Linked DNA regions of Xenopus tropicalis. Each later gene encodes a partner of the first gene's protein in a complex. Links are inferred from orthologs where the notes say so. Each region holds a gene or a part of one and is shown in the gene's direction. Other genes may lie near its edges.

Region 1 (4,462 bases):
ACAACCAAAAGAATAGGGTAAAAAGGCACACATCTACACAGCAGAGTACAATGGTGCTGTTTTTACACAGCATAATAAACATGGGTCAAATGCCATTCATTCTTTCTACAGAACAATTGATTGAAAACCTCTTATATAATATAGAACCTATAATACTTAATGCTCAGGACCAGGGGTTTTTCCTGTACAAGCGGTCATTGTGTAATTTGGATCTTCATGCCTTAAGTCTGCTCAAAATGTATTTAAACATAATATACCAAATAGGATTGTTTTGTCTCTAATAAGGTTTGATTATATCCTAGTTGGGATTTAGTACAAGTACTGATTTATTACAGAGAAAAAGGAAATTATTTTCTTAAATTTTAATTATTTAATTAAAATGCAGCCTATGGGCCTTGCCGTAATTTAGAGCTTTCTGGATAACAGGTTTCCGGATAACGGATCACATACCTGTACTGGATATGTGTGGCCAAGAATTACCATTGTGTCCACTTTCCACATCCTGTACAGTTTGCATGATGGTACATGATGATAACAGAGATCTCATGACCTGTGACCAGGCCTGGACTGGCAATGTGTGGATTCTGGCAAATTCCAAAAGGACTGCTGTTAGATGCCATAGACAAGCACTATTTAGTGAACTAGCAGGGGCCTTGAAATGCAAGGGCATATATTAAATCCCAGTCTGCTTGTGGCCCACAAAAAAGTGGTCTAGTTTATGATTATTAGATATTATTACCTATGTTTAAATAATTTTATCTTGAAAAAATTACAGTACAGCTCTTAGTCACATATTACTTACTTTTCCCTCCTTTCTCCACATCAGATCGGTCATTGGGACCCGCCAACATGGAAACGGAGTAGCAACGGTACTGAGTAGAGAAGCGGTTTTGGAAAACCCGGGGTATGGGGTGGTCAAACATGTTGAAAGAAAACTAAAAGAGAATGGAATTAGTGAGATTTTGGAGCTGTTATTTCATTAAGCAACATAAAGATACATCGTGATAATTTGAGAAATTCTTTTTTACTTTGTTTTTACCCTTTTAGTGTTATTTAAGTGATCTGTAAAAACAAAAACTATTACGGAAACATACATTCAGATTAAAATCATACTGTTATTTTTCATGTAAAAAAAATCTTACATACAACAACTCTTCTTTCCCATCCAAGATGCATATAGCAGTAAAAAACTAACCCCTCAGTCACTGTTCAGCCTCCATAAAACCTGGCAGGTAAATGGTGTTTTATGATGATATATAGGTATACATGACATGACGCTATCACAAATGTGGAAGACAGATCTTACCATTTTGTTACCGGCTTTCTCTTATTATCCCGGCGGACCTAACACTATCTTAGTCACCGTCCTTCCCGGAAGTAAATATAATTGCGAATCAGACGATCGGAACAAGAGAAACTACGAATCCCAAGAAGCAACACGCTAAAAGCGGAAGTTAATAGACCGCTGTCAGATATCGGGAAGCGACCAATTGGCTGCTAAACTGTAGGACGCAGAGGCGGGGTTTATCTTGCGCTGAGCCTTCACGGATTGGGCGGGGTTGGTGTATGTCACGACGAAACGGGCTGTTTGATTGGCCACCGCTGCTCTAAGGGATTTTGGCGCCAGTTTCGAGGGCAGCCGTCAACTTGTCGAGATGTTTGTGAGTGATCTCCGTAAAGAGTTTTACGACGTGATCGTTACCGAGGTGAGAAGGGTAACCGGGATAAAGGATTTTTTTTCCCAAATAAATGATATGACACCACTCACTGTCTCTTCTCTGATTTCCAGCGCGTTCTTCTCCTTGTTGCACCTGATGTTGATGCTCTCTGCGCCTGTAAGGTACTTCAGGTAAGAACAAACCAAAATTAAGTTTTTTTTCAACAATTTAAATCACCATACCTACTTAAAACAACATGTAACTATGAAATAAAGCCAATAGGATTGCTTTATCACTAACAAGTTTTTATGCAGCTTAGTTGCTGTAAAGTACAAGATACTGTTTTATTACAGAGAAAATGTAATTAAAAAAAAAGATTTTGCATAAAATTGACAATGGGAGATTTCTGCATATCTGGTTTCCATTAAACTCACAGTGCCCCTTGCACAGATCCGACAGTATAAACACTTCATCCCCACATATAAAGCTGGTCATACCACCTAGTTTGCCAAATGAGTGGATCTTTGTCCCATATGTCACAGCACCACACTGATTGTTAGGCCTTCGACCAATGATTGGATCATAATGGCTGCTAATGCAGGCTGTTGGGAGAGGTCCACATCAATACGTATGTGGTGCTCTTCCCAATGGGTTTTTTTTTTTTTCTACACTGCCTAATATGTTGGCCAGGTAAATATCAGGGATGAAGTCGGAGAGGACCCATGTACCGGTAAATACAACTTATTTTATTTCCCACCAGATAATGTGCATGGTACCAACAGTGTTGCAGCTCTTGAACCATTTAGGGTCTGCTACTAAAACACTGTTACTAAAACAATGTAAAGTGTACTAGTGAGTATAAGTTACCAATGATAGAAAAACCTAGAAAGAAGGATAAATATTTCATTTCTGAAATCTGAACACTTGCCCCAAGTTGGTTCTATTATTCCTCCATCTCCAGCCTTTTGCCCAAATGAAAACATTTTATAGTGTAAAATTCTTGTGAAAGTTTTGCATTTGCTACATATAAATAGTGCATCTGTGTAATGGTGGATACTATGATTTAACTTTTATTTTTACCATAACTACGTAGTCATATTTTTTGGTTTTGGTCAAATGCACCTTAGAAGTTTAGTCCAAACCCTTATTAGCACATTTACAAAATATTGCAACAATTGTGAACAAATATTTGTTCTATTCAATTGTCCAGAGTGGTAATGTGCTTGGTCTTAAATTTTCCAATTCTTCCCCCTTTATTAAAGGAACAGTAACACTAAAAAATGAAAGAGCTTTAAAGTAATAAAAATATAATGCACTGTTGCCCTGCAATGGTAAAACTGGTGTGTTTGCTACAGTAACACTACTATAATTTATATAATAAGCTGCTGTGTAGTCATGGGGGCAGCCATTCAAGCTGTAAAAAAGGAGAAAAGGCACAGGTTACATAGCAGATAACAGATAAGTTCTGTAGAATACAATAGTGTTTTATCTGTTATCTGCTATGTGCCTGTGCCTTTTCTCCTTTGAATGGCTGCCCCCATGGCTACATAGCAGCTTATTTATATAAATTATAGTAGTCTTTCTAAAGTAAACACACAACTTTTACCAGTGCAGGGCAGCAGCACATTATATTTTAGTTACTTTTATACACTTTCATTTTTTGGTGTTACTGTTCCTTTAACTCAAACTGCCCTATCACCTTGGCTGATATCATAACATCGGGCAGTGTGCTCTAGAAACACTATCCCATCAAAGATGAAGACCAGGTTTCTAGAGCCCAGCTGCTGGACAGTGATAACCTGCACTTGAAGTAGTGAGCCATTTTTTGGGCCAAACCAGCTCTTTAAAGTCATGTGATTTTAATAACCATTTAGTTTAGGGGAATTAAAAAATCTGCAAACAGTGCTAGGATAATCCAAAATCCTGGATTTGGTGCATGCCTCTCCTTAATGCATTAAAGGTACCTGCCATTTAAAAATCTAGCACCAAAAAAGCATAAAATATGTAGTCTTAGCACTTTAAATATAGGCTGAAAACTGTTGATTTTTCTTAGTGAACTGGTAGACTATTTAGCATTTTTAAGAAATTTAAAAATGTCTAAAAAGTAGTTTTGTTTTTTTTTTCTCATTTTAAGTGTATGCTGGCCAAATTACCCACCAAGTAAACCCATCATTTGATACACCCTGGGTGTACTAGTAAAGGGCAAACAAGTGCAAGATCATTTGTATTATACGACTAGTCACAAATGTTTAAAGTATTCTGGATGCATGGACATTAATTGATGTTTTAGGAGTTTTCTTTAAAGGACATGTAAACCCCACGCACAAACAGCCTCTTAGAAATCTTTTTTTAATACCTGTCACACTGGTTGTCCAGAGGTTAATAGAAAGGCTGCAGCATCCCATTAATCACTTAGATTTCCTTCTCCTCCTGTAACCCACTCAGCCCCCTCCCTCAGAGATTTGCTTTGACTTCTGGCTTGTGGGCATGCTCAGTTGTTCTAAGCTCCGATTACCAAACACGCTCTCCAGTCTAGCAGCCAATGAAGAGATGGCATTTCTGGGTCCCATAGAAGCTCAGGTCTAGCTGTCTGCTTCAATGTTTTTCTTCTAACCTCCTGTCCTGAGCTCAGCTTAAACAAAGCAGAACTTTTATCGAAGACAGTTCTGCCTGTGTGAGCCTGTATTCTTTATGAAATGTATGCTGAATTCGGGTCTGTGTGTGTATGTTTGCAGATATAAATGTATTTGATTATGTATCAGGAAAAATGGCCACTGGGTGAAAGCTGCTATTTGCTTTAGAAA
Region 2 (3,825 bases), on another chromosome or scaffold:
CATGTTATGCTGGGCAACCTAGAAAGCAGAAGAAAAAGATGTTCTACTAAAGCAAAATAATCACATTTGTGTTGAGTACTAACTAGCAAGCAGTTTGTTTTAACAGCACTAAACTGCTTGGTCACAGTGGAAATAACTAATTATTTAGCAACTTCAATGTTTTATTTCTCCAGGTATTTACAGAGCTGTCCCAATTCGAGTTAACCCTAGAGTTCGAAATGTAAAGTCTGTTTACAAAACTCACATTGATGTTATTCATTACCGAAAAACTGATGCAAAGCGGTTGCATGGTATTGATGAGGACACAGAACAGAAGATGTTCACTGAAGAAAGGGTTGCAATGTTAAAAGAACTTGCAGCAAAACCAGACATCTATGAGAGGCTTGCTTCAGCTCTTGCACCAAGTATATATGAGCATGAAGATATTAAAAAGGTATAACTTCTGTCTTTGTGGTTGGGAAATTAGGAGATAATTTTGGTGCACACAATCAGGTGGCGGTCAATAAAACCATAATACTCTTGAGCATTTTATATTAACTTGTAATATCACCTTCTAAAGACATAGGCACATGACATGAGCGTTTTTTTATATAAGTTGCTTAACTTGCATGCAGTGGGTAGAGGCGGCTGTTCCACCACTTGAAAAAGGAGGTTTTGTAATATATGAACCCAAGACAGTGTGTGAGAATCCTTGTGTAATTAATTGCTATGAATAAGAAAAGTTAAATTATACCGGCAGTATTTCAGTTCTATGGCTGTGTGAGACTGTATTAATGTCTTATAGGCAGCAGAGTAACTTTGACCTCAAATGATACTTGAGGAGGTTTTTTTTTTTTTTTTTTAACAAAATTTTTATATTTTTTAGGGAATTTTGCTTCAGTTGTTTGGTGGAACACGGAAAGACTTCAGTCATACCGGAAGAGGCAAATTCCGTGCTGAAGTAAACATACTTCTGTGTGGTGATCCAGGAACCAGTAAATCTCAGCTTCTCCAATATGTATACAATTTGGTACCTAGAGGCCAGTACACCTCTGGAAAGGGATCTAGTGCGGTTGGATTAACCGCATACGTGATGAAGGATCCAGAAACGCGGCAGTTGGTACTGCAGACAGGTGCATTAGTTCTCAGTGACAATGGCATTTGCTGCATTGATGAATTTGACAAAATGAATGAGAGCACTAGATCTGTGCTACATGAAGTAATGGAACAGCAGACTCTCTCCATTGCAAAGGTAAAGTCTAACAAGTATATAAATCAAACATGCAAATATCTTTTGACATTGTAGCATTATAATTCTGTATTTAAAGACATGCTATTTTTTTTTTTTTTTTTTTACACCCAACTCTCTCACCTCACTTTTTTAGTTTAGAGCCAAGTGCTGTTATTCATGGACACCTAAGGGCTGCTCTGTCAATCACTACTGTGAACAGTTATTAGTAAAAAGAAAAAGCTTTGGCTTATCGTGCTCAGTCATATGCTGTTTTGTGGTGTTGTGTACAATGTTGCCATGCATAAATGTTTAATATACTGTTCTCTATAGAAATCTACACTTACCATCCTGTAAAAGTGCTTTTAAACACAAATTATTATATTGCCTTTTTTTTTTTTTTTTTTTTTTTTTTAAATTGGCACTATTTTTACATTTTATACATTAAAAGTAAATGGTCTCTCTTGCAGGCCGGAATAATATGTCAGCTGAATGCCCGTACATCTGTTTTGGCTGCTGCAAACCCAGTGGAGTCACAATGGAATCCCAAGAAAACCACTATTGAAAACATCCAGCTTCCACATACGCTCTTATCAAGGTGTGTTCTTTGTTTCTTTTTTTTTTTTTTCTTTCCCCTTAAAGGAACAGTAACACAAAAAAATGAAAGCTTTAAAGTAATAAAAATATAATCCACTGGTAAAATTGGTGTTTGCTACAGTAACACTACTATAATTTATATAATAAGCTGCTGTGTAGCCCTGGGGGCAGCCATTCAAGCTGGGAAAAAAGGAGAAAAGCCACAGGTTACATAGCAGATAACAGATAAGTTCTGTAGAATACAATAGTGCTTTATCTGTTATCTGCTATATTCCTGTGCCTTTTCTCCTTTGAATGGCTGCCTCCATGGCTACATAGCAGCTTATTTATATAAATTATAGTAGACTTTCTGAAGTAAACACACAACTTTTACCAGTGCAGGGCAGCAGCACATTATATTTTAGTTACTTTTATACACTTTCATTTGTTGGTGTTACTGTTCCTTTAACCCAGCTGAAACATGTATTGCTGCTAAGGGTAAGACCCTACAAGGTGGATTGTTAGACTGTATAAGTGCTGGCTGGAAATCTGCCCGTATACTTGAAAAATCTAATAGTGTTTGCACGTGGAAGCATTGATTCCTATATAAAATCTTTTTACTGATGGAGCCTAAATCGGCCCTAGATCTGCAGACCAGAATAGGAATCATGCAATGTAACCTTTTGTGTTAACTTGTCATTAACTTAATGCTGCTTTTAGGTTTGATCTAATATTTTTGATGCTGGATCCACAAGATGAAACCTATGACCGCCGCCTAGCCCACCACCTTGTGGCTTTGTACTACCAGAGTGAGGAGCAGATGAAAGAAGAGCATTTGGACATGGCAGTTTTAAAGGATTATATAGCATATGCTCGGACTTATGTCAATCCAAGACTTGGTGAAGAAGCAAGTCAAGCTCTAATAGAGGTACATAAATAACCTAAACGAATGTGCTCAAACATTCTCCAAACAAACATAATTAAGTTCAGTGTATTGACTTTAGTCGCCTTTATTTATTGGAGCTCCCCCATAGATCCTGGTTTGTGTTTGTTTAAAATGGGTGGTGGGGGCATCTTAGTTTACCTACACCAAAAAGAATAATAGGTTGTGGGTAGCCAATAGCAGATCTGTTCTTTACACCGGTAAAGGTGCACTGCAATTTCCTCTCAGATCTGAGCTGTTGGTTGCCTGCTCCCAACATAAGGATTGCTTTGCACTATACAAACCTGCTAAACAATCTGGAAAAGCAGCCAAAAAAAAAATTTGAAATGGCAGTACAAGAGTCCATTATTAAAGGCTCAAGTCTACACTTTTTAGAGTTAAATAAGGCAAAAGCAAATAGCAGTCTATACTATGGGGCAGATTTATCAACATTTTTATTTTTGCGGTTTTAGGTTTTTAAAACCAAAAATAAGCTTATTTCCACTAAAACCACAAATGGCTTGTCCTTTATTAAAAGATCTGAATTGAAAAAGTAGGAACAAATTAAAATGCAAAATGAAAACAAAAAACCTAAAAAACCACAATTTAAAGATTTACCATTTGCCGAGGACAACTCCCATTGACTTCTACATGACCTAAACACATATTAGATGAAGATTTGTATTTGTGTTTTTCGTGGTTTTATCACATAATAAATGCCTAAAATGAAAAAAAGTTAGTAAATGGGGCCCCTATATGTACGGCTTTTTTAAGGCCACTGTTTTATGCTGCATAGTGTTTAATATAGGATTGAAATATTGTTTGTTTTTTTAAAAAAAAAATATATTTTTTAGGAAAAACATACTTATACATGCATGCAATAATTTGTTTACCCTTTAGTCAAGCAAAAAAAAAAAACATTGATCAAAGGAGGATGTGTTGATCAGTTGATATAAAAACTTACAAAGTGTTACTGTTCTGTTTGTCCATAATTTTATTTTTCTAGCATTTTATAGTTGTTCCTCTTCCATTTTTTTTGTAGGCTTATGTAGACATGAGGAAAATTGGCAGTGGTCGTGGAATGGTTTCTGCCTATCCTAGGCAACTTGAGTCTCTGATT

Evidence for each region.
Region 2: cdc45 (region 1) and mcm4 share a complex: the UniProt entries of both Homo sapiens proteins name them as parts of the CMG helicase complex. The link is inferred for Xenopus tropicalis from reciprocal best matches to the Homo sapiens genes CDC45 and MCM4.

The regions. Positions count from the first base shown.
Region 1 is NC_030677.2:154,230,229-154,234,690, forward strand, and holds the start of cdc45 (cell division control protein 45 homolog), read left to right. Parts: upstream 1-1,541; 5' UTR 1,542-1,655; coding exon 1,656-1,706; intron 1,707-1,789; coding exon 1,790-1,849; intron 1,850-4,462. Other genes in the region: ufd1 (ubiquitin fusion degradation protein 1 homolog), read right to left, coding at 803-935, 1,307-1,309. UniProt on the Homo sapiens protein: Required for initiation of chromosomal DNA replication. Core component of CDC45-MCM-GINS (CMG) helicase, the molecular machine that unwinds template DNA during replication, and around which the replisome is built.
Region 2 is NC_030682.2:113,245,081-113,248,905, forward strand, and holds part of mcm4 (DNA replication licensing factor mcm4), read left to right. Parts: intron 1-173; coding exon 174-433; intron 434-865; coding exon 866-1,231; intron 1,232-1,677; coding exon 1,678-1,805; intron 1,806-2,503; coding exon 2,504-2,711; intron 2,712-3,747; coding exon 3,748-3,825. UniProt on the Homo sapiens protein: Acts as a component of the MCM2-7 complex (MCM complex) which is the replicative helicase essential for 'once per cell cycle' DNA replication initiation and elongation in eukaryotic cells.